7 linked regions of the Rattus norvegicus genome follow. The protein of the gene in region 1 interacts with the protein of each later gene in a pairwise test. Links are inferred from orthologs where the notes say so. Each region holds a gene or a part of one and is shown in the gene's direction. Other genes may lie near its edges.

What was found.
Region 2: the proteins of Agtrap (region 1) and Bpifa2 interact in binary tests that used the Homo sapiens proteins (3 or more experiments, as listed by UniProt). The two-hybrid records come from large-scale screens. The link is inferred for Rattus norvegicus from reciprocal best matches to the Homo sapiens genes AGTRAP and BPIFA2.
Region 3: the proteins of Agtrap (region 1) and Pitpnc1 interact in binary tests that used the Homo sapiens proteins (3 or more experiments, as listed by UniProt). The two-hybrid records come from large-scale screens. The link is inferred for Rattus norvegicus from reciprocal best matches to the Homo sapiens genes AGTRAP and PITPNC1.
Region 4: the proteins of Agtrap (region 1) and Myg1 interact in binary tests that used the Homo sapiens proteins (3 or more experiments, as listed by UniProt). The two-hybrid records come from large-scale screens. The link is inferred for Rattus norvegicus from reciprocal best matches to the Homo sapiens genes AGTRAP and MYG1.
Region 5: the proteins of Agtrap (region 1) and Mief2 interact in binary tests that used the Homo sapiens proteins (3 or more experiments, as listed by UniProt). The two-hybrid records come from large-scale screens. The link is inferred for Rattus norvegicus from reciprocal best matches to the Homo sapiens genes AGTRAP and MIEF2.
Region 6: the proteins of Agtrap (region 1) and Ndrg4 interact in binary tests that used the Homo sapiens proteins (3 or more experiments, as listed by UniProt). The two-hybrid records come from large-scale screens. The link is inferred for Rattus norvegicus from reciprocal best matches to the Homo sapiens genes AGTRAP and NDRG4.
Region 7: the proteins of Agtrap (region 1) and Coq8a interact in binary tests that used the Homo sapiens proteins (3 or more experiments, as listed by UniProt). The two-hybrid records come from large-scale screens. The link is inferred for Rattus norvegicus from reciprocal best matches to the Homo sapiens genes AGTRAP and COQ8A.

Annotation. Positions count from the first base shown.
Region 1 is NC_086023.1:163,799,368-163,803,339, reverse strand, and holds the start of Agtrap (type-1 angiotensin II receptor-associated protein), read left to right. Parts: upstream 1-1,165; 5' UTR 1,166-1,206; coding exon 1,207-1,233; intron 1,234-1,335; exon of another isoform or gene 1,336-1,470; intron 1,471-3,972. UniProt on the Homo sapiens protein: Appears to be a negative regulator of type-1 angiotensin II receptor-mediated signaling by regulating receptor internalization as well as mechanism of receptor desensitization such as phosphorylation.
Region 2 is NC_086021.1:162,959,260-162,962,017, forward strand, and holds the end of Bpifa2 (BPI fold-containing family A member 2 precursor), read left to right. Parts: intron 1-491; coding exon 492-555; intron 556-996; coding exon 997-1,034; 3' UTR 1,035-1,075; intron 1,076-2,070; 3' UTR 2,071-2,237; downstream 2,238-2,758. UniProt on the Homo sapiens protein: Has strong antibacterial activity against P.aeruginosa.
Region 3 is NC_086028.1:92,925,519-92,929,612, reverse strand, and holds the start of Pitpnc1 (cytoplasmic phosphatidylinositol transfer protein 1), read left to right. Parts: upstream 1-1,268; 5' UTR 1,269-2,050; coding exon 2,051-2,098; intron 2,099-4,094.
Region 4 is NC_086025.1:135,333,979-135,338,173, forward strand, and holds the start of Myg1 (MYG1 exonuclease precursor), read left to right. Parts: upstream 1-1,385; 5' UTR 1,386-1,386; coding exon 1,387-1,602; intron 1,603-1,739; coding exon 1,740-1,852; intron 1,853-2,953; exon of another isoform or gene 2,954-3,059; coding exon of another isoform or gene 3,060-3,061; intron 3,062-4,194; coding exon 4,195-4,195. Other genes in the region: Pfdn5 (prefoldin subunit 5), read left to right, coding at 910-986. UniProt on the Homo sapiens protein: 3'-5' RNA exonuclease which cleaves in situ on specific transcripts in both nucleus and mitochondrion. Involved in regulating spatially segregated organellar RNA processing, acts as a coordinator of nucleo-mitochondrial crosstalk.
Region 5 is NC_086028.1:45,907,206-45,911,514, forward strand, and holds the start of Mief2 (mitochondrial dynamics protein MID49), read left to right. Parts: upstream 1-1,503; 5' UTR 1,504-1,624; intron 1,625-3,357; 5' UTR 3,358-3,363; coding exon 3,364-3,510; intron 3,511-3,736; coding exon 3,737-3,899; intron 3,900-4,309. Other genes in the region: Flii (protein flightless-1 homolog), read right to left, coding at 202-264. UniProt on the Homo sapiens protein: Mitochondrial outer membrane protein involved in the regulation of mitochondrial organization.
Region 6 is NC_086037.1:9,390,148-9,394,440, reverse strand, and holds the start of Ndrg4 (protein NDRG4 isoform 1 precursor), read left to right. Parts: upstream 1-1,468; 5' UTR 1,469-1,576; coding exon 1,577-1,613; intron 1,614-4,293. UniProt on the Homo sapiens protein: Contributes to the maintenance of intracerebral BDNF levels within the normal range, which is necessary for the preservation of spatial learning and the resistance to neuronal cell death caused by ischemic stress.
Region 7 is NC_086031.1:94,460,554-94,464,826, reverse strand, and holds the start of Coq8a (atypical kinase COQ8A, mitochondrial), read left to right. Parts: upstream 1-1,448; 5' UTR 1,449-1,475; intron 1,476-4,273. UniProt on the Homo sapiens protein: Atypical kinase involved in the biosynthesis of coenzyme Q, also named ubiquinone, an essential lipid-soluble electron transporter for aerobic cellular respiration.

The DNA of each region.
Region 1 (3,972 bases):
CCCTCTCTTTTGGACAAGGTCTCGCTCGGTTGCCCAGGCTGGCTTTGAACTGCTGGGCTCCACAGTTGTCCGGCCTCTGCTTTCCTCATGATGGAGGCTGTTCAGTTGTCAGCTGGAAAGCCTTTTCCTTGACTTGGGGTCCTGTCTTCCTTTCCTTTCCCAGGCTTCAGGACCCTGGATGGAAGGAGAGAACCATCCACACTCTCACCTCCACACTCATAGTAGGACATGCATCCACCTAAACAGATAAAGAAGAAATAAACATGGTCTCATTTTATAAAGCCAAGCAGGCTTTGATCTCGTGGTATTGCCTTGCCTCGACTTCCCAAAGACTCCTATTTACAGGCTTGGCTCGATGTACCTCTTTTTTTTTTTAATTTTTTTTTTTTTTTGCTGTACCTCCTTTTTACCTTTCTTTCTTTCCTTCTTTTTTTAAATGAATTTTATGAAATTCTCTCGAAATCCAATAAGCTTGAAGCAAAACTTTAACACAGTAAGAACTAATCTTCAATTTCTTTTGTATTTATTTATCTTATGTATATAAATGTCTCACCCGCCTGTATGTGCGTGAGGCCGTGTGTCTGGCGCCTGCGGAGGACAAAAGAGTGTGGTCGGATCACATGTACATGTACACCGGGTGGGTGCTGGGGACTGAACCCAGGTCTTCTGAAAGAGTAACAAGTGCTCTTAATCACGGAATCACCTCTCCAGCCCTCGCTTTTTTCCTTTATGGACATAAATTAATTCACCGACCCTCACGAAGATGATGAGGTAGGAACTGTACTAATTCTTGTGCAAGGGAAGGAAGAGAGGAGAGAGGGTGTCCTGGGCAGACACCAACTGTTATCACACCAGCAGTTTCTGCCTGGTTGCCCCCAGGCTCTTATGGCTGCGGGAGGTCCCACCACCTCGCCCCGATCCCAAGTAGGCAGCCGGTTGAGCCCTAGTCTGTAGAAATCCCGTCCTTCTGCTTGAAGCACAGCAGCTGGTAGAGGCCTAGGCAGTAGCAGGAGCCTGAGCCTTGCAGCAAGGGCAAGCTGCTAGACGCCGTCTCCTAGCAACCGACTGCAGTCACGTGGCCGCGCGGATTGGCCTCACGCCGTTGGAACTGGCGCAACGCGACGGGCGGGGCCAGGAAGTTTGTTCCCGAGTTCGGAGCCCAGGAGTCCCCGTGGCCGTCGCTCAGGTGCCCTCCGCCGGGTCGGGATGGAGCTGCCTGCCGTGAACTTGAAGGTGGCCGCGCGGCCGGGTCGGGCGGGGGTCCAGGAACCTGGGGAACGGAGTCGGAGCCGAGGGGAAGGCGCAGAGCCCCGGGGAGGAGGCGGCGGACACCGAGAGGGACACCTGGGGACAGAGACGGACAGGGCCGCCCCTCCCGGATGGACCCAGGCTGGCACGGGTCCCGGACCGTCCGGGCCAGCGCTCCTGGTGTCCCCCACAGCAGGACAGGGACACCTCTCCTCCTGAGAGGTCAGTGCAGTCCGGGTGGACCCCTCTGGGTGCTGGCTGAAGTTAGGAGAAACTCGGTGTTCCCAAACAATTGCTTCTCCCTAATTTCCGCATGCAGCGTCTTTATTTCATAATTAAGAAGCAGGAACTGTAGAGGTTTCCTAAAAGCAAAAAACCCCAGAGGCTGTGCTGGGCTCCGGGTAGCAGGGCTGCCTACGATGTCTTCATTTCCTAAGTTCTTTTTCTCTCTCAGCCCTCCTCGTTTGCAACAGAGGTGCTGGCCACTTAGCTTTGGCAAGAGCGGTGTGAACCTGGAAGTAAACCGGCCATCTTGGTTTCTTGGCGCAAGTTTCTTGAAACCCTAAACCTTCTCTCAGGTGTTAAACCACTAAGCACCCTTTGGTGTCTGAGACGAAAGGGACAGAAGATATAGGTGGCATTGGAGCAGCTGAGTGATTGATTGCACGCGGGCTGGGCTGTGACTTGCTCTGGCCGGTTTCCCATTCCTAAGCTGCTGGCTAAGCAGCTGGAGGGAGATTGGAGTAAAGGAATGGGTTTGAGTGGATCCGTTTTCTAGGGACAGATTTATGGGCTACTGCAGGTCTGGGAGGCAGCCTTAGGGGTCAGGCTCTGCCTTATTCTGCTTGAGCCTACCCTCCAATAAGTATGAGGACAGCATGAGTCTCTATGGTAGAACATTTGAGTAGCCCACACCAGGACTGGGGTTCCATCCCAGTACCACACACTAACAAATAATACTAAAACAGAAGCAGGTGGGAAAAGAGCTGGTGTTTATGGGCTGATATGTCTTATTCATTTGAGTTAGGGTCTCGTGTGGTACTGGCTAGCCTCAAACTTATTATGCAGCTGAGGATGGCCTCAAACTTCTGGTCCTCCTGCCTCCACCTCTCCAGTGCCAGGATTGCACGGTACTGGCAATAAAACCCAGGGCTTCTTGCTGGATAAGGAAGCACTACCAACCAAGCCATATCCCCAGCCTGTGTTGCTTTTATTCATCTCAGTCCTACACTGAGAACACTGAAACTGCATTCTGTTGTTTTTGTTTGGGGGGGGGTCTTGCTATCTAGCTCTGGCTGGCCTAGAACTCGCTATATACATCAGGCTGTCTTTGAATTGACAAGAGATCCTCTCGATTTTGCCTCCCGAGAGTGCTGGGATTAAAGGCACGCAGCACCACGCCTAGCCAGAGGAGCTATGCTCTTTCATCGGAGTGCAAACTTCAGCTTAGATCATCCAAGTAATAGCAGGTGCAATCGGGATTCGAACCCCCGAAGACCTAGCTCCCGTGCTTTGCATTTCGTGGTTATCAGTTGCTTAGGGCTAACTTTTGGTTTTCGTCGGCCTACATCAACATTTAGAACCTGATAGGCACAGTGTATCCACCACAAATGTGAGCTAGCAGGCAATGCAAAGACCAGGCCCCTAGGACTTGATTGACAAGCTCTGTGGATCTTGGCAGGGGCCAGTCAGAAGCAGGTCAGCACCGGGGGGGTTGTGAAGTAGCAGGTAGGAAGGACTTTCAGTCACTTTTGGGCTTTGCGCTGATGACAGCGTTTTACTGTATGTCTCGGTATTGGGGACACGCTGAATTACTCACAAGCTGAAATTCAGAATGAGCCCGAGAGCTCTGTTGTGTTGCCTGCAAGATCTGCAAGAACCCCATGGAAGGCAGCTGGGACACCATGGCTGCCCGCCTCAGTCCACCCTCAGCCTTTTAAAAAGGATGCCCTGCTCTGCTCAGCACTTGGCCTGGGCTCTGTGAAAGAAGTGGGTCCCTGACTAGGCCTCACCTACCCATGCTTCTCTTTTTTTTTTGGTTCTTTTTTTCGGAGCTGGGGACCTGGGGACCGAACCCAGGGCCTTGCGCTTCCTAGGTAAGCGCTCTACCACTGAGCTAAATCCCCAGCCCTGTACCCATACTTCTCTTAAGCAGAAGCTTGTAGCAGCTCAGGTTGGAGGAGCCTTGTGAAGTCCTGGGAGGAGCAGTGGGGGCAGGGAGGAGGCAGCAATGAGGCCTGCTGTGTAGAGTGTCCTCCACACTGTCCTCCAGAGCCCAGGAGTCCCTGCTGTGCTGAAGAGCAGGTGGCAGTTTATGTCAGACTTGCCCAGGTTCGTGTGGGGAGCTAGGATCCATTCCATGGTTTGCCTCCAAAGTCTGTCAGATGACCAGGGCAGGACCTGCCTCTCTCCTGGGCTACCTGAGTAGCCCTTAAACTTAGCTGTCCTGGGGGCATCCTATCTTGTCTAATAGGTCACCAAATGTTTTCACAGGACACACTGGGATGTATTAAGTTGAGGTCAGGGACATCCCCAACCCCTCCTCCTTTGGGACTGGTAAACAAAGACTTGCTTTGTTTTCTCCTGGTAGGGTACCACATCCCAGGCAAGTTTTCTACCACCGAGCCATAGTCCATAGCCCGGAACAAAGGGTTAATTAATACTCAGGGCCCTTAGACTTCTGCTGACCCACCCTTTTCCAAGTTAAATTTCACTTCCCTCTGC
Region 2 (2,758 bases), on another chromosome or scaffold:
ATGTCTGCTGCCCCCTCCTCCTCCTCAGTAGCTGGGCTGCAGAGGCAGAAACCACAGGTCCTGCCTTGAGCTGTTTACAGTGTCTCTGCAGAACAGCTACCTGTAAGCTAAGGTTTTCTTGCAACCAACACACCCTTATTTAGACATCCATATTCAGGCCTCTCCAGAGGCTTCAGCCTTCTGAGGACTTTAAACTTCCAGGGTTCAAGAGTTCAAGGTTGTTAGGAGTCTGGGGTGTTAGGGTTCTGGATCCCAGATAGGCAGATGCTGGACTCCTGACATCCTGGGATGATGGGTTGTTAGTAACCTGGGACAGTTCTGATTCAGATTGCTGCCATTCCATGGTTCGGGATTGCAAAGTTAACTGTCCTTGGATCCTGGAAATGAGTCCCTCTGCTTGGGGTAGGTGGGCAGCATGTTCCCAGCAAAGTCTCGTCTGTTTTCTTTTCTCTTCCTCTTTTTAATACGCTTACCTTCTTTTTGTCTCTCAGCTATGCCCAGTGCTCCAGTACCTCCTCAGCACAATGAGTGGAAGTGCTATTCAGGGTCTCCTCTGTAAGTCACAGCCTGGGGATGGAGTGCTTTCTATGGGCCAATGCAGGAGTTGTAGGAGTACCCCATCCAGGGATACAGAGTCTTTGTTTCCTGACTAAGGCAGGCCATTGGCTCCTCCTCTTCTCACTGGGAACTTCATTTGAGCCTATCTTCTCATGCTTGACAGAGTTTCTGGGACAACAGGAATCAGGCACCAATGATGTCAGGTCCTGGAGGTGGTCCCTCTATGGATGTCTCTTTACACAGTCTTTCTGTGTCTCCCATTACCTTATTGGGTCCTCACAAGAGTTTGTCCAGTGGGGCACAAATGAATAGTGATATACTTGATTGAGGTCACACAGGTGACAGAGTGATGAGCTGGAGGGAGGAAACAAGTTCGGTGGGCTTCTGTTCAATTTGCCATGACAAGGACTGAGGCTAATCTTGACTTGTTTCCTTCAGCTAATGTACTAACAGGACAGCTAGCAGTCCCTCTCTGAAGAGGAAGAACAGAAGGAGGAAGCCATGACAACCCCTGCTGGTATGGGCAGTGTCTTCATTATTTTTCTATTGTCATTAGAAAACAACATGACCGGGGTTGGGGGTTTAGTTCAGTGGTATAACGCTTGCCTAGCAAGCACAAGGCCCTGGGTTCGGTCCCCAGCTCCGGGAAAAAAAAACTTAAAAAAAAAAAAAAAGAAAACAACATGACCAAGGGAAAGTGTAAAAGCATTGAAGACACAATTCCAGAGGGTTAAGGCCCAAGACTATCATGGTGAGAATCATGGGATCAGGCAGGCATGGTGCTGGAGTAGTAGCTGAGACTTAAGTACTGAGACAATCACCAGGCAGAGTGAGCTGACTAGCAATGGCATTGCCTTTTGTAATCTTAGAGCTCACCCCTAGTGACACCTCCTCCAATAAGTCAATGCCTCCCAATCCTTCCCAAGTAGCTTTTGTAACAGTTATTATAAAATATAACTCAATTATATGAGCCTATGGGGGTGGTTATCATCAATCACATGTAGGCTCTGTGCTCTGTGCACAGCAGCCTGTCAGGAGGGCAGGGTAAGCCTAATTTTATTTCTGTCACAAGACTAAAGAAATTGAGGCCTGATCGAATCCAGGCTGAACTCTGAGTTTGAGTACACCCTGAATGCTGAGCCAGCAACATGAACCCAGAATGAGCCAGGATCTGTGTTACTAAATGAAATTATTGGGAGTTTTTTTTGACTGAGATCTAACTTTGTGCATACGCCACTGACCATGGGTTGAATCCTCACCCTAGCTTGGACATGGCCTTCCACGTAATCTTTTCCCATGTGTCTTTGTTCCAGAAGAAGGGATGGGAAGTGGACAGGACAAGGGGCAAGAACAGGACTGCAAATCTGCATCTCCCGTCTAGATGCCCCAAGTCATGCTGGGCACAGTAGGACTGGGTGGACACAGAGAGGATCTAATTAATGCCCAGTAAAGACTACTCTCTCTGCTGCTGCGACAGCCAGTGTTCTGATGTTTTCTCTGTTTTCATTGAAGGTTAGTCTCCACTGGCTTTATTTTACTTCCGGTGGCATTTCTTTCTGGGAAGTTCTACTATCATCCACACAAAGTCTACCTGATACCAACGGAAGGACTTTCCCAGATTCCCTTCTTTCCTGAGTAGTCTCCACACCTGTCACCACCATCATTAAAATCCTAACTGCACCCTGGCGTGTGGCTTGCCTCAGTCCTTTGCAATAGTTGTGGGTAGGGTGTGGTGTGTGTGTCTCGGGAGATTTCAAATGAGTGGCTGAAGCCATAGCTGGAAGGAACTTAGGGGATACCTCACAGCTAAGAAAGAAATGTACAGAGTTGCAGAAACAGTGAGAGAGAGTGGGCACACAGCTACTGTGTGAATGTGGTAGGACATGATCCAGTCAGCCATACATGCACAAGTGTATATTGGTGCCATCCTGACCAATGAGACCTAGGAAAATAGACATGGTTAGGTCGCTGTGGTCTTTCTTGCCTGCCTTCTCTTTGCCCTTCCATTGCCGCTTAGTTTCTGGATATCAACTCTAGATTAGTTTCCTTGCAGACATCAGTGATCCTGGTGATACCCAGTGGTTCCCGAATTCATCCTTGTCGTAGAGGCTGCAACTAAAGAGGTCTTCTCAATACTTCACCACATCCTAATGCCAGAAGTGGACACTTAGGCTCACAGAGTTAAAGGGATTCATCCAAG
Region 3 (4,094 bases), on another chromosome or scaffold:
GAAAATATTTTTTCTTTGTTTCTTTCTTTCTTAACCAAAATATAAGCTAGAATTAGGGTGTCCTTTTCCTAGCAGGGTGGATCATGTTCCCTGAGTTCTAAACTTGGGTCATCTAGACAACTTTAGCCAGAGCCCATTCCCATTATGTTGCTTAGTGACCTACTGAGCATAATTTTAACATCTGTATTATTGAGGCCTGCATAGTCTGCCTTGCCCTATGCAAGCTCTATGGGTGGATACAGGTTTCCGGAGTTCACAAGCACACACACACACACACACACACACACGCACGCACATCTATACGTGAGAGCCAGTGATGCTTACAGATTATCCTCCTATAGGCACTGGATGCATATTTTTTTTCCATTTTTAGGAAAACAAGCTAAAAAAAAAAAGTCAGACAAATGAAAACCAGACTTCAGCAGTTACATGCTGCTTCCTGAGTAACCGAAGAATGTGCTTCTTGTGGTTAAAATGAGAGATCTGTTTAATATGGATGAAATACCAACACCCCAGGCATTTTAATTGACATTTCACTGTGACTTTTTGAACTTAGGAGTGCTGACACGAAAACCTATTCTTTCTGCTCTGGGAAGCTTGCAGTAGGATTGTAGAGCCAGGGAGAAAGAGGTAACAGGCAATCTCAATCTCAATCTCTCTCTCTCTCTCTCTCTCTCTCTCTCTCTCTGTGTGTGTGTGTGTGTGTGTGTGTGTGTGTGTGTGTGATGTGAGCGCGCGAGCATTTATACTTTGTTTTTACCAACACTGCTGGAGGATTCCGTCTTAAAAACATATTAGAAAAACATACTGTAAAACCATCACCTCTTTTGCCCTCGGCCTTGCCTTACCCTATCAGAGAGAAAAATGTTCGCTGTGAGCATTTGTAAAGACGCTCCCACCCCCAAAGTCAAGGGGCACTAGTGCACTTTGGAAACTGAGTTTCCAGAGCGACTAACTCGAGAGCCCCATGGCACCCAGAGTACATTCGAAAACAGATCCCAACGTTGTCAGAGTCCAGGATAGCCCCTCTTTGCGATTCTCTTCGTCGCTAGCCGCTCTAGGTTCTGGGACAGCCCAGGCTGTCTGGCAGCAGACGGGGAGAGACATGCTGTTTTGTTTAAATCCTCCACATTCTTTGCCATTTCCCCATTGGCCGGATGGGGCTACCCTCCCCGCCGCGGCCGCTGCTGATGTCAGCCTCGTCGCTCTCGCTCCTCCCGCACCCACCTCCCTGCCCCAGGCACACTGCAGCTCGGCGCGGACTCTCCAGTCGCGGCGAGCTGGCTGCAAACTCACGGGCACGCACGGAGCTCGCAGAGCCGAGGGACTCGGGGGAGGGGACGCGCGCAAGGCGCTGGCAGCCAACCGCCGAGGTTGAAGACACCCGGGGCCCAGAGCAGGGCAGAGCCCTGGCGGCCACGGTTTCCCTTCTCTCTCTCAGCTGAGCTCCGGAGAGACTCGGGGACTGGCCCTAAAAAAGAGCAGGAAATCTTGTTTACCGCCCGGGGAGAGGAGCCCATCGAGCCTTTGTTTGGAAAGTCAGCATCGCCGGCTCCCGCGGCAATGTGTTCCTGGTGACATTAACCCAGGGTAGACGGGTAGGAGAAAAGGGAGCTCGCCAGGTTCAGCTCTGCTTTCGGAGGAGGATCGAGAGGGCGACTTTTGTGCATTTGTTTGAATTTGTGGAAATCCCTTTTCCCCTTCCTTTTGCCTCTCTTGCCCGCCGCCGGGCATGTCCTGATCTGGTAGCCGCGCCTACCAGCCCGGGGCTGCTGATCGGAGCTGTCTCCCGCGGGTCTCCCTCCCTCAGTGCCTGACTTTGCAATACCGGGAGAGCTGATCTCTGCGAGGAAGGAGGCGGGGGAGTCACAGACACCGGGACCCGAAGCTTGACATGCTCTGGGGCGGACCGGAGGCAGTTAGGAGCTGAGCGCACCACCCCGGCTGCTTCGCTCTCCGGTTCCCAGCGTTTTTGCCCTCCACTGGGCTCCAGCCTTGCTCATCAGTTGGGACGCCCCCTTCTTTCCCGGGGTCCGCGGCCGGCAGGAACATGCTGCTGAAGGAGTACCGAATCTGCATGCCGCTCACCGTGGACGAGGTAGGCACCGCGCCCGGCCTCGCCCGCTTCGGGTCCCCAGCCGCCACCACTCGGCCGGCGGGTCCACTGCGTGCGGCGGGGAAACCCTGGCGCCCAAACCTGGAGGCTGTAAGGGGAGGAGGCTGGGGATTCGCTGTTCCCACTCGTCACCCCGGCAGAGGAAAGGAGGCGTGGGGGTGGGGCGGGGGAGTCCAGGTGAGCTCTTCGGGGACATCTAGAATCAGATTACTGGGGACCACAATGCGTCACAGGGAGCTGTTGCGCCCCCTCCCTCCAATTAAGCAAATGCACAGAGTACAAGACTCCAAGCATGCTCTGCAGCCGGAGTATCGGGGTACCCCGCCGTGGTGATAGCCACTGTCCCCATGTACCCTTTACGAGGTGGGTTTGCAGGGACATATCCCGCGCGGTCGGGATCTGCCGAGAGTCCCTCCTGGGGGCACGTCGGAGGCCTAGAGAGGGTCCGTTTAGAACCAGATTTCTCCTTGTCGCCTCCAGTCTAGGCGCTGGCTCCTGCCCAGTCCGAGCATCCAGGCTCCCTCCGGGACCTGGCTTGTCCTTTGCTGACCGCCTGGCTCGGAAACTTTCTGCGTGTCTCGTTCCTTCCGCGGCGGGGAGCGTGGTCTTAGGAAGAGCCCCAGTGGTGGGGCCCGCGGCGCGGCCACCGGAGGGCGCTCCAGGCCGTCGGGCCCAGCCCTCCCGGCTCTGAGTATCGGGGCTGCAGGGTAGGGGGCTCCCTGCTCAAGGGCTCGGCCTCCACGCGCAGGTCAGCTTGCATTCTTCCGATTCTTCCTCCGCCCCCCCGACCTCCCCCCCTGCCGCCCCAACAGCGAGCTCCGCCATTGAGGAAACGGTGACTCAGTGAGGGTCACTCCGGCCCGGGCTTCGTTTTCGTTCCCCTTTCTCCCCACCTCTTTGGATATTTCATAAGTGCTTTGCGTCTGTCTAGGGCCACATAGCCAGAATATGAAGCCAAACAAGGCAGTTTGAAAAAAGAATCCTGTGGTTTGGTGTGGCAACAAATGAAATCAGCGATCCACGACGTATTTGTATTTAAAACCGGTGCATTTAATCTATCAGACATGTGATCTATTCACTACTTTGTGAAAGGGGCCTTGTGCTTTTGTGTTACTCAGTCAAAGACTATGGCTGCCCCCCACCCCCCACCCTTACCGGGATGGTGGTAGTAATCTTCCTTCGGCATCTGGCGCCTGTGTTAAGGTGAGAGAGACCCTAGGACCCTCCCAGGCAAGATCAAAGTAGCCTAAAGTTTACAAAACACTTGACACTCGACACTGGCTGCCAAAGACTGAGAGGGATAGTTTAGCCACGCCCCACTCCCCACCCCCAGCCTTATCAACAAGCTTTAGAGTTTGCTAGCATTTCTGGGGTGGCAGCATTTTGAGCTGGGTTTTAAGCGGTAGTTAGGTGCCTCTTAACCTTATCAATGAAGAAGCAGCGTACGGCTTTGTGGAGGATGGAGAAAGGCAAATGAATGGGAATGGACGTACACACCCCTCCCCTCCCTGGTGCTGGTGCTTTGTGGACATGCTGTCTTCCCACCTCTGGAACTGCTGAGCAGGACCAGGGCGACCGGACCTGGGGGTGTCCGCATGCTTCCAATCCGTTTGGAAGCTTTGACTGTGGTAATAGATGGGACTGTGCAATCCCTAGGGCGCTCGCCGACTCAGTCAAATAATGAGTCAGGTTCTATGTAGTCCTGGCTGTCCTAGAACTCACTGTCTAGACCGGAGACTGGACTGGCTTCGAACTCAACTCGGAGACCTGTCTGTTGGGATTAAGTGTATGTCACCTGGCTCCGCCTTTCTTAACTGCTAGAGCATTCCCCCGACGTTTAAGTATTCGGTGTAGTAATTACATTTGAGAGGTTTAGGGGGTGGCTTTCCCTCCCCCCTTCTCTCTCTCTCTCTCTCTTTCAAGAATTTTTTTTAACTTTACAAGTACCCTGTCGCTGTCCTCAGACACACCAGAAGAG
Region 4 (4,195 bases), on another chromosome or scaffold:
CTTGTAACTCCAGTGCTGGTGGGACAGAGACAGACAGATCTAGGAGTGCACTGGCTGGCCGCCCTGGTTGAATTGGTAAGTTCAATGGAGACCCTGTCCCAAGGGAGAGGCAGAGAATGACAAAGCACAGTGAGATGCCATGCTCTCCTCTGGTCTCCACACGCGTCCACACCCCATACAAACATGAAGAAAATATGGAGCATAACATGAAGCTGGAAGACATCTTCACGTGTCTGTGGGACGTGGTGGTGACACCTGTCAACCCAGCATTTGGGAGGCAGAGGCAGGCACATGCGAGTTTGAGGCCAGCCAGGACTATGTAGAGACCCTGTCTCAAAAGCAGCAACAATACAAAAGACGTTTCTGCTTCTCTTTGGTGTCTGTTAATGAGTCGGGATGAAATGACTATAAGTGCATAGGGATCTGTTAAATAAACACTAGTAATTACCAGGAAGTTAAAAAGGAAAGTGTAGGTCCAGTTCAGAAATCGATCTGGAAAAGGGTGTAGGAAGGTGTTCTGGGAGTGCTTTTTTTTTTTTTTTTTTAAAGGTCTTGATTTTAAAGCAGTGGTGGAGGGGGGCTTATTTTTATTTTGAGACAACCTCATTCTATACTATAAACTAGAGTATCGAATAGAGAATAGACCAGATTCTATAGGCAGAACAGATCTGGAAGGCAAGGAAATCCACCTGACTCAGCCTCCTGATTCATTTTTTAAGTGGTGTTGGAGATTGAATATGGCCTTCAGTGTTGTGTGTTGTCAGCCCTCACATGACAGTCTTATGGTTATGGCTAACATTGTGTTTATTTTTACATTCCAGTGGTTAGTGGTTTAACTGTCAGTGTTCTTCTACCTTGGGTCCTCAACATACTCTCGCTAGGATGTGACTGCTCCTTCTTTTCTTGTAGCCGTCGTGGAAATGATGAGCCAGAAGATTCAGCAGCTCACAGCCCTGGGGGCAACGCAGGCCACTGCCAAGGCATGAGAATGTGTCGCGGAAACGAAGCAGAGAAGGACCCTTTTTCAAGGGGCCTGGGACTTTTTTTGGCAGTGGCCTCCTGGGAAAGTGTCTGGGAAGAGAGGGTCTTGTGTTTAATGTTAATAAATGTGCCAGCTGTGCAAATGGTGGTCTTTTCTTACATTAAACGCGGGACCGGTGGTGAACTGGGAGTGCCCGGGGGGTTTACTTTTGTCAGGAGCCCCCAAACTGGACTAGCCACACTGCCTTTTGTAAGTTCCAACCAGCGGTTTGAGGAGCTGTAAGAAGGCTTGCACTAAGTTGCTCGTGCGGTTTTGCTTGTTGCCATGGGGACAGATGGCAGGCGGAAGTGAAGCTGTACCAGAGACTTCCTCTTCCGGGTCGATCTTCCTGTGGAGGGAACCTTATGGGTAGAGGGTTCCTGCGAGGAGTCTTAACACTGTTGCCGCTCCGGTCAGTTCTCCAAGTCCAGCACTGCATGCTTGTCTCGGAGCCCGATCTGCCCCCTAAAAGACCTCGCAACAACCTCATGGCACCGCCCCGAATCGGGACGCACAACGGCACCTTCCACTGCGATGAGGCTCTGGCTTGCGCATTGCTCCGCCTACTGCCCGAGTACAGGGTATGGACCCATGAACCTAACCAGGTCCTCTCTGATGCTTGCAGAAGCCTAAGCACCACCGTCCTCTGAGACACGCGCCCTGGAAACCCAACCTTAGTTCTCTGACTCCTATCTGACAGCCCCTTCTGTGTCTGCAGAATGCAGAGATTGTGCGGACTCGGGATCCTGAAAAACTGGCTTTGTGTGACATCGTGGTGGATGTGGGTGGTGAGTACAACCCTCAGAGACACCGTTATGATCATCACCAGAGGTGAGTTCACAAACTCGCTGCCTGTTCTGACTTTCTTGATTTAACTTTAATGCTCCAGTCCGGCCACCCACCCACCCCCAAGTCCATGACAGCCAAGGTCACACTGCCTCATCATTGAAGCCACGCAATTTATTGCTCTGGGAATTAAAGCTTGCTTTGGGCTTGCTCCTTAGCCTGGAACTTCCATCAGTTCCCTCCTGCACTCACTTCTTTTCACACCAGCAGTTTTCCATTCTCCTGTCCTTGCCGAAGGCTGCTGGATTCTTCTAGTTCAAGGACAATCTACTGAGGTGGCCTTTTGCTTAAGAGTAGAGGTGTCTTGTCTGCATTCACGTCTGTGCACCAAGTGCATTGGTTTCCACGGGGGTCGGAAAAAAGGCGTCAGGATCCCCTGGAGTTGGCATCAAAGAAGTCCTGAGACAACGCCTGGATGCAGGGACTTGAACCTGCATCCTCTGCAAGAGCATCCCGCTCTTTTAGCCATCTCCAGCCCTGTGATGGTTAATTTTAATTAACATTATCAACTTGACACAATTTAGATTCTAGAATCACCAGGGAATTGGTTCATTGAGGGACTATCCAGATGGGGTTGGCCGTGTTTGTGGGGTGTTTGCTTGCCTTGTAAGACCCGGCCCACTGTGGGAGGCACCAATCCCTGGGCTGTGTGAGGGGAAGATGGTGAAGTTCGTGTGCCCTTGTTTTCTCTCTCCTCTTGTCTGGGAGAGATGTGACTTGCTATTCTAAGTTTATGCCACCTTCCCTTCTGTGATGGACTGCAGTCTGATGCTGTGAGCTACAATAAACCTTTTCCCCAGTTGTTTCTGTCAGGTGTTTTATCACAGCAGCAGACAGGAAAATGGGCTGTTACGTGTGATATGATCACAGCACTACTGCACCTCCAACTCGAACTCATGCTTCAGTGCGGGTCCCCACCGTTCCTAAAAGATAGGCTTTCCTTGTGTGTGCTTCTTTCCCTCGTCCAAAATCTCACAACTCCACCCTCCAATTTAGGAATATTTGTTCCCTTCTGTTGTTTGTTTGGTTTGTTTTTTGAGACATGATTTCACTATAGCACTGACTGTCTTGGAACTCCCTCTGTAGTCCAGGCTCCCAGAAACATGGCTGCCTCTACTTCCCCAGTGCTGGAATGAAAGGTGCGCTACCATGCCTGGCTTTCCCCTTTTAAAGTAAACATCACCGGTATGGAATGTGAGTAGCCGCTTTGCTTTGCTTTTTGGCTTGTCAAGACAGTTTCTGTATGTATCCTGACTGTCCTGGAACTCACTTTGTAGACCAGGCTGACCCCAAACTCACAGAGATCTGCCTGCCTCTGCCTCCCAAGTGCAGGGATTAAAGGCTTGTGCCACCACACCCAGCTTGTGAATAGTCTTGTCCTCTAAAGTATAACAGCTACTTCCCTAACATCTGCATCCTAAGACGCATCATAAGTAACTTAGAGATGATATAGAAGATGCAGGAGGAGGAGCCAGGTGATGGTGTACAGCTGTGACCAGCACTTCCCAAGTAGAGGCAGGAGAGTCATAAGTTACAGGTCATCATGTGCTAGCAAGTTTGAACCTAGCCTGGATCACATAAATCCCATTCCCCTCAAGGAAGAAAAATTATAGCCAGGTATGATGTTCTGCACCTTTAATCGCAGTTCTTGAGAGCCAAAGCAGGTAGAGTTCTGGGATAACCAGGACTACACAGAGAAACCCTGTCTCCAAAAGCGTGTGTGTGTGTGTGTGTGTGTGTGTGTGTGTGTGTGTCTGTGTGTGTGTCTGTGTCTGTGTCTGTGTCTGTGTGTCTCTGTGTGTGTGCATGTGCGTGTGTGTCTGTACATGTCTCTGTGTGTGTGTGTGTGTGTGTGTGTTGTGTGTGTGTGCATGTGTATGGATGTATGAAGTTTCCAGGCAAACACTGCCCCACTTTACATAAAGAACTTGAAGTCTGGAGGCCAGGCCCTTGGGAAGCACAGATGGTGACAGTAAGCTACAGTTGCTCTGTCACTTGTCCCCTCTCGCAGGTGACAGTAAGCTGTAGTTGCTCTGTCCTTTGTCCCCTCTCACGGATGGACTTGGAAGGACAGGATCTTTGACTTTTCTCTATAACGTTCAAAACATAAACCCAGCGTACAATAGGATGAGTCCCAGCGTTGTCACGGGAATGCCGGAGTAGAAGCTTTCAGCGAGGCCTATGTTGGCACAGAGGAAACCCTAACATCTTCTCAAGTGGTTTATCCCCCATCCCACTGATACCCAGGTCTCAATGTATAAACTTGCACACACAGATTAGACTCGTGGAGCAACTTTTTCAGCTCAGCCCCTCCCTGTGCTCCTTAGG
Region 5 (4,309 bases), on another chromosome or scaffold:
TCAGGTTCGCGGCCTGTGGGCTCAAATCCCGCGCGGCCCCAGATCCCGGAGCCCCGGCCCACGTCTTCCGCCGCGGGCGGGGCAGGCCCGGGAAGACTCACCGAGGCCCGCCCGCCCGCCCCGCCCGCCGGTGCCGGAAGCGTAGAGGGAGCGGCCGGGAGAGACGAACTAGGGGTCGCCCTTCCCTTCCCCCCATCTAACCTTGAAGTCGTTGCCGCTGAGGTCCACGCCGCGCACGAACGGCAGCACCCCGGTGGCCTCCATGGTGGCGTAGCTCTCCTATGGGCTAGGAAGACGCAGGGTAGCCGGGAGCCGCGGGCTGGGTCAGCGCCGGCCCCGCCCCTTTAACCCGCGCGCGCCTCCTCCCGGCCGCGGCCTCTGCGGGAAGTGCTGCTAGGCGACTCCCAGAGCTTCAGGCCTCGAGTTGTGGGACTGGAGAGGCCTGCGGGGGTCCTGCTGGAGACGATCACCACTTCCAGTCTCCAGTCGCAACGTGGAGGGTCGGGTCCAGGCATTGTTGCTTGGGCTGCTGTAGACCCTGAGCTGGCCGTGATCCCGGAGAGATTTCGGTACCAACGTCAGGGACACAGGCAGTCTCTGCGTGAGGGACCCGTGGTGGTGGTGAGACTTCCGGGTCTTTGGGCCTAGCTCTTCATCTTTGGACTCAACTTTGCTCGTGTGTAACATGCTTCCCAAAATTGTCAGAACCAAGTGAGTACTCAGGAGTGTCAGAGAGCAGGATGCACAAACCCTCAAAATTCTCCCTTGGCCTCAGGATTCTAGCCAGTGCTCTTTATAGGCTTGTTTCATGCTCTAGAAGACCAGCATATCTCGTCAGCTAAGCTGTTAGTGGCCATCTTGCCCTGGCCTGCACATCGTAGGTTTCCAATAAACAGACACAGCTGTTCTATGGATGTACAGGGACTGGCACCCAGTGTTTCAGAAGGGAAGAGACTGGTAGAGTTCGCACAACAGGTAACAGAGCTCTTTTCCCGGTGTGTGCCAAGCGGGCCAAAAGGAAATGAGACCACCAGTCACTCTAGCAGGGGCAAACTTGAAAGACAGAATGTGGGCCTTTGGGCTAGGTGCAGTTTTGTCTGCCTGGTCCATCAAGGGACCGTGAGCTCAGACAGCTTTCTCCACACTGAGGCTCCCACTACAAGTACACACAAGGTCAGATGTGAGGCTAAGGCACGACTGCAGAGAATTCGATGTCAGTCATGGCTTTAGTGTGAGGCCCTTCTTCAACAAAACACCCCCAAAGTAAAACTAGAGCAGGCCCTGGACGATTGTCATTCACTCACTACTTCCCCCGCACCTTGGGTTTACAAGGTAACCTTGCGCCTTTAAATCCGGAGTGTCTGTGGTTTCCGCCCCCAGGTCCAGGGCGTGCCTGGTGTTCATTGGCTGAGCTGCTCAGTTTTGAGCACGTGTGCGCAGGAGTTGTGCGCTCCGATTGGAGCGAAGGCCTGCTTATCCAGCGTTCCTTTCGGGTCATTTGCCGCCCCGGGCCTCGGCGTTCGGTTCCCGGGGTCTGGACGCTCCATTCCTAAGCGGGTCCTCCTGGGCCTCCAGGGTCCTGCTCGCCGCGTCCTTGGGTCCATGCGCTGACGCTCGGACGCAGGTACAGCTACAGCGCAGGGGGCGGCCGGGGTCTCCTAGTATTGGGCGTGGCTTGTATCCCAGTGCAGGTGGGGGCGTGGCCTGTGGTCAACACTGCGGTGGGAGGGAGGACTTGGGAACTAAATATCCGAGTTCGAATCCCAGGGGTGCCTCTTCCCAACTTGGGTATTGCACAGGATTTCCAGGGTCTCAGTGACTTCGTTCTTGAATAGAGTCTAAGAGCCTTTTGTATGTGGTTACACGTTTCTGTTCAACCCTGATCCAGGGCAGTCAGCTTTGGCAGAAATGGAAGAACAGGTGACATCCAGGCTGTGAAGAGGCAGGTTATTTTGTTATTTTGTTTTATTTTGAGAAGCGGATCTATTATGTAGCTCTGGCTGTCCTCGAACTCAGTGTGTAGACCAGGCTTGCCTTGAACTCAAGGAGACCTGACCACCTCTGCCTCCTGAATGCTAAAATGAAAGGCCTGCGCCACCACAAGGGCCTGAGTTGGCTTTATTTAGCCACCTCTTTTATTCCCTTCTTACCAGAGTTTGAATACAAGACCCCTCCAGGTGTAGGACTGAGTCCCACGTTACGCAGGCGGTGGAATGTAAGCTAAGTCCCCTGTTTGCAGAGTGGCTCACTGGTCTGAGGGCAGCGATAGGTTTCGAGCTTGTAGTAGGTCCCCTGGCTGGCCTTTGATCTTGCCAGGCCCTAGGACAGGACAGGGTCTTATTTTTAGTTCGGGAGCCGTGGACAGGTGTCTCAGCTGAGTCACACAGTGCTTCAGGCTTCAACTACTCTAGGCATCTTGTCACTTGGCAACTAGGTCCCAGGGCAGCCATGGCCCTGAAGGAAGGGCTGAAGTCCTTGGTGCCCCATCAGGCAATGACCTTTCTGGCTTAGTGGACCAGGCCTAGAGATTCCTGTGTCTTTCTCGAGTTCCTGACCCGGCCAGTCGCACACTTCCCAATCTAACTCACTGGTGCAGTCATATAGATAAACAAAAGAAAGTCCTTGGCTCCAGGTCTTTCTCTCACATTCTTACCCTCGCCAACTCTGTTCAAGTCCATGGGCCCTGGGCAGCCTGTCCTGATTCAGTGTTTATTTAGGGTTACCTTACTCACCACTGGACTATGGGGCCCTCAGCCTGGTCTCTGATGGGGTTGCCCTACCCCAAGTAGTTTTCCTGTCAAGATCTGGGGGGCCAGTAACTAGATCCCTGAATTTGCTAAGGGTCTATCAAAGGTCTGACAGGCCTCACCCAGGCAGGCTTCCTGGAAACCCATATTGCAAGTCTTTCTGGGGCTTTGGGTTCCTCCTGACAGGTTGTCACACAGTGTGGCTGTTCTGGGTGGGTCCTGATGAGGAGTATGAGAACCTGGTCAGGAGGCATAGGGATAATACTCAGGCTGGGGGGTGGAAGAGTCTAGAGGCTGTGCTGTGAGTCCCAGACCTTACCACTCAGTTTGTGGCCTGGCAACTCATGTCTTTGTAGAGTAAGGGTGGTGATGACGAGCCCAGGTTCCCAGCATCTCGGGGTGAAGTCAGGACAAAGGCCTGGAGCCTTCCTATATCAGCCCTTTTCCAAGGCTTGGAAGCTTGCAGGTTCCAGGGAGGGGCTGGTAGGTCCCCTGCTTCCCTCCAAGAAACTCTTTGCGCAGCCCCTTTCTCTCGGGTCCTTAGAAACCGCCCTCTTGGTTATTGCTAAGCACCTATGCACGCTGGCCCTACGAATTGCTTCTCTTGCAGGTGACCATGGCAGAGTTCTCACAGAAGCAGAGGAAGCAGCATGGTGGCGAGGGCCTGGGCAGTGTGGTGGACTTCCTCTTGGCTAACGCTCGTTTGGTGCTAGGTGTGGGCGGGGCTGCAGTGCTGGGCATTGCCACCCTGGCCGTAAAGCGGGTAAGGCCATGGTGAGGCCTGCCTGAAACCTCCACAGGAGAAGGCCAGGACGGGGGAGCTGGGGGATGGTGGGACTTTTGGAAGTCGGACTGGAGCTCAGAGCCCCTACTTTTTCACCCTAGCTTCCTGGTTTGCTTTACTCCCCCTCCCCGCCGCCCCCAGCTTTGCCGTGCAACCCCGCACCCCCCCCCCCCCCATGCTCTGATCTGTGTCACTTTGCCTGTAGCTCATCGACAGGGCAACTAACCCTCGTGATGAGGATGACACCAAGGGGGACAGCTGGAAGGAACTGAGCCTGCTGAGAGCCACTTCACACCCCAAGCCCCAGCCCTCTCCTGCTGCCTTCAGCCAGCCCAAATCTCCTGTGTCCCCCTCCCCCTCTGCCCCAGGTGAGCTGCACTGCCTCCTTCTAGTGTGGGGAGTCCCCTGTGCACGCCCATGCGGAAGCTGCAGTCTTCACATATTTCTGTTCCTCTTTGGGTTGTGGGCAACTCAGATGTTTAATAGGTACTGTAGGTTTGTGTTTTTCTGGATAGAACCCAGTGCCTCACATGTGCTAAGCAAACGCAAACCTCAGCCCTGGGATCCTTGTTTTTGCCTGTCTGCTCTCTACTATAGCAAGGTTGCACCATGTGATGGTAGGGAGCCAAAGATGGGGAAACTGAGGCCTGGAGAGGGGCAGGATCTCTCTGACCCATTCTCCGTGAAGTTGTTGCAGTTGTAGAAGCCACAGTGTTGGGACTCTGGGCCAATGACTTTGTCATCATGCCCTCACTGTCCCATGACCTGCTTGATGTCA
Region 6 (4,293 bases), on another chromosome or scaffold:
CCTGGCAGAACCATGTTAGAATCCCTTCAACCACAAGCAGTAAGTAACCATAAGCAGGTGTGCACCACCTGCAGCCTCAAAATCTCAGCTGCTTCCTCAGCTGGCCGTGGGGTTAATTTACTTCAGGTGCTGGCCACCTGGAGCCCAGGCCTAATGGCAAAGCACCTCCTACCGAGAGGTTTCAGAAGTCAGAAGAGGTGGGCTGGCTTCTCTTGACACTCTCCTCCCTCACAGCCAGGGCCTCAGAGATTTCCTGGTCTAGTACTTTCTCTGTGGGTCATAAAGACAGGAACCCAGAGAAAAGGTAAGGAAGGGGCCCATAGTCATCTTTAGAGCCTGAACAGAGTCTCCAGGAATCTTTATCTCGTCCCAGTTTCAGGGTTTATGATGCTTCAGGGCCTTTGACCCTCCTTCCGAGGAACCAGGACTAGACCCCAGTAGAGGGAGTTCAGGGAAAGTAAAGTCCTGTTCCTTCTCCGGCTCCTGATAACGGAGAGTGAACAGCAGAGAGGAGATTGAAGTCACAGTGTGAGTGAAACCGTCAGGGGTGCCCAGAAAGAACATCTTTAGCCAGGAAGTGGCCTGAGTTCCTCAGAAACCTTCAGGCTTTGCAAGCAGAGGAGCGTTGGCTCCTGGACCACTGAACTCCTGGTTCTCCCCAACCTCCCACGGCGTCTCCCCAGACCGGTGGGTGAGGTCGGACTGCAAGGGAGGAGAGGTCACAGGTGGCGGGAGTGGGCCTAGTTTCCCCGTGGGAGCCCAAACAAAGCCCGAAGTCTGCGTCTCTGGCGCTCCGCAAGGAACGCAGTGCAAAGAGATGGGAACCTCTGGGAGCCGGGCCGGGTGCTGCAGATTGCGTCTGGGCCAGGCCTGTGGGTCTTCCAGCAGAGCCTCCCGCCCACTCCCACAGCCCGCAACAGCTAGCGTCCAGCCAACAAGCGGGACGCGCAGCGCGGCCCACGCCCACCCACCCACGTTGGCACGCCCCCCGCGGCGCCCCGCCCCGCCCCCAGCTCCCGGGCTCGCTCGTGCGGGGAACCTGCACGGCTCGTGGGCGGCGGCGTCCAGGCCAGGCTCACGCCTCCGCGACCGTGTAGCTCGGCAGCCTGGGTGAGTCGCCGCTCCCTCACCCTTGGGATCTCCTCTAGGCGCAGCCACACAGCAGTCCCGCACCTTCTCTTCCCCGCCCCCCGGCCACCTTCCGCCCACGCGAGGGCGACGCCCTGTCTCCCAGCCACCCCTCGCCTTCTTGGCTCGGACCCCCGGAGACCACGGCTGTCGCCCGTCCGCCCGCGAGGGCTGGGGGCGGCAGGCGTCTTTGTTCACGAGGGGCCCCTCCCGCGTGGTGTCACACTCTCCCCCCCCCATCGGCGCTCACCACGGCCAGGTGGCGGCGGGTGCCTTTTGGGGTGCGCGGCTGTGCCATTGGTGGATTTTTTTAAACCCTGCTGGAGGGGGCGGCGAGCGCACCGCACTACCGGCTGCTGCTCCCGCCGCTCCCGCTCTCCCGCCGCTCCTCTCTGCGGCTACTGCGCGCCTCGCCCCGGGCGGCCCAGCGCGCTCCTCCGACGCCGAGATGAAGGTGCTGGGACACAGGCTCCAACTGCTGACAGGTACCGTGGCTTGCCGCTTGCCACTGCCGCTCTCCAATTTGGAGCGGGCTCCGGGCGCGGTGGCCCGGGTTGGAAGGGGCGCTCTCGGGTGCGCGTTCCCAGATGAGCGAAACCTGAGGCACGCCCGGCTCTACTGAGCCGCGAGCGCCGGCGTCTGGGAGGGTGGAGCGCCAGGGAGGCCCCCTGCGGTATCCCGCTAGTGGAGCTCCGATTAGCAACCCTAAGGGGAGCCCAGGAATCTCAGTCTTCAAGTATCGCACGTCCCCTGAGAAAGCAGTCCTGGGCCTCCTAGGGAAGTGGGGAGAACCTGTGTAAGGGTTTTCTGTCATGGTCAGAGCCACCTTTCTCTCTGGAGAAAGTTTATTGCTGGAAGTAGAGTCAAGTGGCCTGGGAAGATGGGAAGCTAGACTGAACCGTAATGGCTGGGGCCATCCACCTTGGGGCCACTCTAGAGAAGAAATTAGATGTCCCGCTGAGGGCATCCTGGGGCCAGTGCCTGGAATGCCTTGGCCAGGCTGGATGCGTAGAGCAGATGGGAAAGGGAGCAAGGACAGAGGCCGGGTGTCAGAAGGGTAAGCTGCTCCTGACACATGAAGTCCAGCATCAGTGGAGGCTTCCGTTCCCACTGGGCTGGAGGGGACAGCCCCGGTCCAGATCCCACTGGACCAAGCTGACCGAGCCTCTGTTAGGTGCACACCATGTAAAGTTGATGAACATATTCCAAGAGATGCCTCTTGGCACTTGGGGTCCTGCTGCTGTAAGGCGAGGAAGGGGCCGCCCCGCTGTGTGTGTACCCAGGAAATGGGATCTGGGTTAGGGATCTGAAGGGACGCAGAGATCAGAGCTGCGTTTGAAGACGGACACTGAGAGTAGAACTTTCTGTTCATGGAAAGGGAGGAGGTCACACTTCAAGCTGAAGGAGCCAAGGGTGTTCTGCATGTGCCCTGAGTGTGAGTGGCATGACCCTGTAGGGTGTGTGTGTGTGTGTGTGTGTGTGTGTGTGTGTGTGTGTGTGTGTGTGTTGGGAATGGCGGTGGGTGGAGTTATAGGCGGGAAGTAGGCCAGGTGAAGGTTTGGGTTGTGTGTACTAGCATGTATGTGTGTGAGTGTGTGTGCGTGCGTGTGCTGGGATGTTAGAGGAGGAAAGTAGGCCAGATGAGGGTTTGGGCTGTATGCTAAACCACAGTGGGTCACGCTGGGCTCATGGAGAAGGGCAGGCGGAGATTCCTGGGGCCTTGGAAGCCCTGGCTGGGTGTTGTTGACACCTGCCCTTCCGCTTTTCCTCATGACCGGCACCTGAAACAGAGCTTGCAGCAGGTTCACTCCCAACACTCAGACCCTAACGCCTAGAGGGCAGAACCAGGTCCTCTCGTCCCCATCTGGCCCTCAGAGGGAATGGAGATAGCCGGTGAGGGTCTGGAAATTGAGGTCCGTGTGTAGTGTGCCCTCAGGCCCTCGATGCTCCGTGGCAGGCTTCCGAGGACTTCCTCAGGACTCTGTCACTGTCAGAAGCTCCCAGTGTACCAGGCTCAGCTGTGGCATAAGCATGGTGAATTTAGGGCCAGCCTGGGCTGTGTGATGAGTTCACACCCCTTCTTGTCTCCTTCACGACCCCTCCTCCTCACCACCCCCAACTCCTTATGTCCTCTTCCTGCCTCATAGATGTGGAGTCACACTCCAGCCACAGCTGGTTGTGATTTCAAACAGGTCGTTTAACGTCCGTCTCCTTCATAAGATGGAGGTTAAACAGACGCCTAAGAGATGTTATGGGGCCTTTTGAGACAGAGCAAGTGACTCATTTGATTAGAACCTCAGAGGCCTATCTCCCCTCTGGCTGCTTTCCCTGGTAATGAAGGATTCTACCTGCCTTGGCTCATTGGCTAGTAAGGACTTGGGATCTGCCGCAGACACTCCGCGTTACCCCCGCTGACAGGCAGCAGTGAGGTTTTTTTTTTTACTCATCTCCGTGGAGTGCTGTGCAGGTAGCGGGGTGATTACTGTGGTATTGTACAAGTGCTCACACCTCTTGGCTTGGTCTAAGCTCATGCATCCTGCTCCTTGACTGTGTCCCCTGGACGATCTTGCAGAGGCCTCTGGATCCTTGCCCTCATCCACCCCTTCGAGGTTGTTTCCAGTAGTTTTTATAGTTTCCATCTTACCATCATACCTATTTGACAACGGGGTTGGCCACTCTCCCACACTTGCATGGCTGAGAGTGGGTGACGTGTGTCCTACCTGCTCAACTGTGGGCCAGACTAAACCATTCCACGCTTCGTGGGAGCATGCTTGTCAAATGTTGCCGCATCTGGTGGTGACCTCCCTTGGCCTCTGAGTTCATCCCTCAGTGCCCTGAGGGTTCCTGTCCCCTTCAGGGTATCCTAGCTCTCTTACTGGGTTCTTTGTACAGTAGACCTCTTTGAGATCTATTTCTGGGGAGCTTGGTTTGGCCTCAGTTTCCATCATACGAGGTTGGACCCTGATGTCCTGATGCCCACAGCAGGTGCCCCTCCTGTGGGGACCAGAGAATGCCTGGACCCAGTGTCCTAAAGAGAACAGAGGACAACCAGAGGTTCCAGGTGGCTCCCTGAGGCGTGGGGTGGGGGGGTTCTTGCCACAAATGAAGAGAGGCAGCAGGCAGTTTTGACCCCAGAGGATGTGAGCTTCAGGGGTCCTCTCTGCA
Region 7 (4,273 bases), on another chromosome or scaffold:
AGGGGCGGGATTGGGTGCTGGGACCCTCCATTGGCTGGGCTTCCTGAAGGGGCAGAGGCTGTGTGCAGACATCCAATCTGGGTTGGGCTTGCAGCTCTGTAGAAAATTGATTTAGGCTAACTTGAACTTGATGTCTGGAACAGGATTCTGGAGCTGGGGTGTGTCAGGCCAACCTTCTTGCCGGAGGATTTGGACTAATGATCATGCCAGACATCTAGTTGTGCTATGGCGGGTGGCCATGCCGTCAGGGAGGCGGTTGGGAAATATTCGGAGTGAGGAAGGCACTTCTGAGAAGAGGGTAGAGGGGCTTGTTGTCTTACAAGAGCAGCACCTGTACGACTCCGAGGGTAGCTTTGGATGCTATATTTAGCTTTGTGAATAATGAAAACAGCTGGATTGTGATTATTTTGGGGCCAGGTGGCACGTAGGAAAAGTGAGGCAGTCTGCATTCTCTTTGGGCTAATGAACCACCTAAGACAGATCTTCCCAACTCCAAACTCTTTTTTTTTTTTTTTTTTTTTTTGGTTCTTTTTTTTTCGGAGCTGGGGACCGAACCCAGGGCCTTGCGCTTCCTAGGTAAGTGCTCTACCACTGAGCTAAATCCCCAGCCCCCTGAGGGCACACTTTTCTTAGCCACATATTTTGCTTAGACGTGTGTGTTGTAATGTGGAAGGAGAGCATGCCTGTGTCTGTGGGGAGTGTCTGGCTGCACACCACACATGTACATGCACACACATGCAGGTGTTTTGATGTAGTGTGTGCACATATACAGGTTGTAGAATTTATTTACATTTTTATAGTTAGTACCAGAAACCATGTCTTCTTTTGTGCAGAGCAAGAGGCTTTGCCTTTGGGTCTACGTTTTGCTTTCCATGAAACCCAGAATTTATTATTCAGTCCTAAAAATGATGGCTATCCAGAGGACATGAAAGATAAGACATCGGAAAAGAAAAATATCCCCAGCCTCTACAGTGAATTTGTATTTCTGTGGGAATGTGTCAGGATTCCGTAGCTGGGGGAGGGGGAACATTCCAAGTAGGGGTTTTCGGAGTGCCCTCTGTTAGCCACAGAAAAAGATATGGAAGGGAAATCACTTCCTTCTTAAGGAAGGTTTAATATTGGGAAGCTCACAAGTTGGCAGGATAATTTTCCAGTAAGAGTCACGGACACGAGTCATTATCTTTGTCAGTTGAAACTAGAGCTGTGTGCAAAATTAGACAGGAATATCAAAAGAGTTGCCTTGGTTTGGCAACTGGAAATGGTTTTAACATTCTTGTTAACAGTCAAGAACTGAGGAGAGCCAGTGGGGAAGGGGGGGGGTGAGCTCAAAGGTCCTGTTTCTTCTCTAGTTGCTTGTGTGATGGGATGGGCATGAAGGGGAGGGAGGGGCAGCCTATAAGTATAGGGTGACCCGTGTCACAGGTAGTGGAATCAGAGAGACCATAGGACTCAGCGTGTGGACTGAATATATACAGGTAGGATATATGGGTCAGTGTTCTAGATGGTGAAGAAGTTGTATAATGATGTCAGTACTGAAAATAGAGGTCATAAGAGAAGGAACTAGTTTGGGGGAAGGTGACAACAATGGGGCTGAGTGCCATTGGAACTATTTTATTCTAGCCTTTTTTTACTATGATATAATTTACATGTACTAAATTCACCCATTTCCCAAACAGTTGAAAAAACTGTATCTTAACCACTAGCACAGTTCCGTGTGTGCCTTGTACTGGGATGGGTGTGTGGTACAGATGTGGGTACCTCGAATCAGAGAGTCTACCTGGCCTGAGGATGGGGAGGCCTTGAATAGCTCATGGACAGAAGGAAGCAGCTCAGAAGACAGTACACAGTGGGGAGGCAGGAGGGCTAGGACCTGCTTGAGCTGGCTCAGCTGCAGAGTATGGAACAGGTGAGGAGAGGTTGCTGAAGGAGGTTGAGGGGAGAGTTGTGGGAATGAGTGAGGCTGACAGGAAGTGGAGGTAGGTCAAGGAGTCCCGCTGGCTTGCACTTCCAATGTCACAGGGGCAGTGGTGTGTGTGTGCGCGTGCGTGTGTGTGTGTGTGTGTGCACGCGCGCGCGCGCTCTTCCTAGGAGATCAGAGTGTGCAGGAACTTCCCTGTGTTTGGTGTAGGGAGGCTGGGCATGAGAGGAAGGGCTTATGTAAAAGGGGACATGCACAAGAAAGACTGGAAGAGAGTAGGGTCTGAGACGAGGGAACAAGAATTTGAAGGTGTGCATATCTGGTCACCTATTTCTAGAGTAGAGGGAGCAAAGGGGCTGTTACAGAGGGGGTAGGTCCTGAGGTATAGGAGCTAAATATAGGGGGAACAGGGAATCCTGTGGGGGTCTCTCTGTGTGTGTGTGTGTGTGTGTGTGTGTGTGTGTGTGTGTGTGCGCGCGCGTGCATGCGTGCATGCGTGTGCGTGTGTGTGTGTTTACAGCAGAGAGATGTCTCCCCATTTTCTACCTGTACACTGCACTGCACTGACTGGGCTTTTCCTGAGTTATGTAGACTCTCTGCTTGTACCTTTGTGAAGTCAGCCCAGAGCCTACCTCCCCTGCTGTTTTCGTAGAATGTCTACATGGGTTCTTCCTAATTCGTTTAAGAATTATTCCCTCCAGACCTGGTTAAATCTGAAAAGATCATTTCAGAAAGAGCTCTGTGTGGCCTCGTATCATCCTTTTTTTTTTTTTTTTTTTTTTTTGGTTCTTCTTTTTTCGGAGCTGGGGACCGAACCCAGGGCCTTGTGCTTCCTAGGCAAGCGCTCTGCCACTGAGCCAAATACCCAACCCTGCCTCCTATCATCCTTTACTCCAAGTATAGATACACTGTCTTGATTTACATGTGAGGAAGAGGGATACACTGGCCTCAGGAACAGAACCTGTGTCCTGGAGGTCATACATAGTTGGTATCTAAGCTGAAGCCAGAAACCCATCTTTGCTGTCTGTCTGTCTGTCTGTCAGCCTGTAGTTTAAGTGTCCAGGAACTAGAAGACCTGCTGTTCTCTGGGCTGGGCAATATGTCCTGGAGACTGTTCACATACAGTGCCAGGTGTGTGTTTGTTTCCAGTCTTGGCATGGAAAAGGGAGGCAGAACACATTGCTGATAGTTTGCCAGTGGTTGCCATTTGACATGCTCACAGACAACTCAGTTCTCTGAGAAAGTGGAAAGTGACTGAGTGGTCTCACTCCCTGAGGTGTTGGTAGCCACTGCCACCGTCGGGCATCAAAGGGCAGGCTGGGCATTGCTGTGGCCAGGTCTGTTGAGAATGTCCTTCTCTCATCTAGAATGTCCTGTGAATAGCCAGAGCAGACTAGCTTCCTGGGCAACAGCTGCCTGCTTTCCCCGCTCTCCCCCTTCCCTCTGGTAGGCAGGAATGGGGTGAATCTAGAAACACATGCTTGTGTCTGCAGACTCATGAAATCATGCAGCCTGACTCTCAAAAACTGCTTTTGAGCTGGGGGCTGGTGCCGTGCCCATGTCTGCATGTGTGTACTAGTGGGTAAGAGAGCATTTCCTTCTGCTCATCAGTGACGTGAGGAGTTCTGTGGGTGTTTATGTCCAGCATGTTTCCAAGGTGTTCTAAGCTGGCAGGCAGCATACCCAACACCTCTCTGGGGTGGTGCCCCATGCTACATTGCTAAATAAAGCACCCCGGTGAGGACCAACCTAGCACTGCCAGTCTCCCTGACTCAGAAGGGATCCTGGAATTTACAGGGAGAGCTTTTTTTTTTTTTTAAAGGTATTTTTAGTTATTTATGGTCTATACCAGTGTATCCGAATGGTCACAGCGTTCATAATCACGACAATAAATGGTTCTAGATACCCAGTGCATGCCATAAATACCTTAAATACTTTCATGCGAGGGATCTAGTCTATTCTCAAGTGCAGGTGAGAAAACTGAGGGACAGAGCTAAACTTATATAATTTAACTTGCAGGTTGGCAGGAGAGCCAGAGTTCAAACCAAGCGACTAATAGAGGTCTTAACCTTATTGCTGGGCCACTACCTGAGCCAAATACTTTTTAACACATATATTTTTAATATGTAGGTTTTTTTGAGATAGGAATTTGCTGTGTAGTTCAAACTGGTCTCAAACTCATGATCCATCTGCTTCAGTCTCCAGAGTGGTATGGAATTATAATATGTGCTACCAGGGCTACATCTGGCTGGGGTTCATGGTAACTGGTGTAGGGCAGACTGACCAGCCAGTGTGGCTCTCCAGTATTTGACCATTGTCCCGTAGTCAAGAAGTGCCTTGCATGAGGCTTGGGGC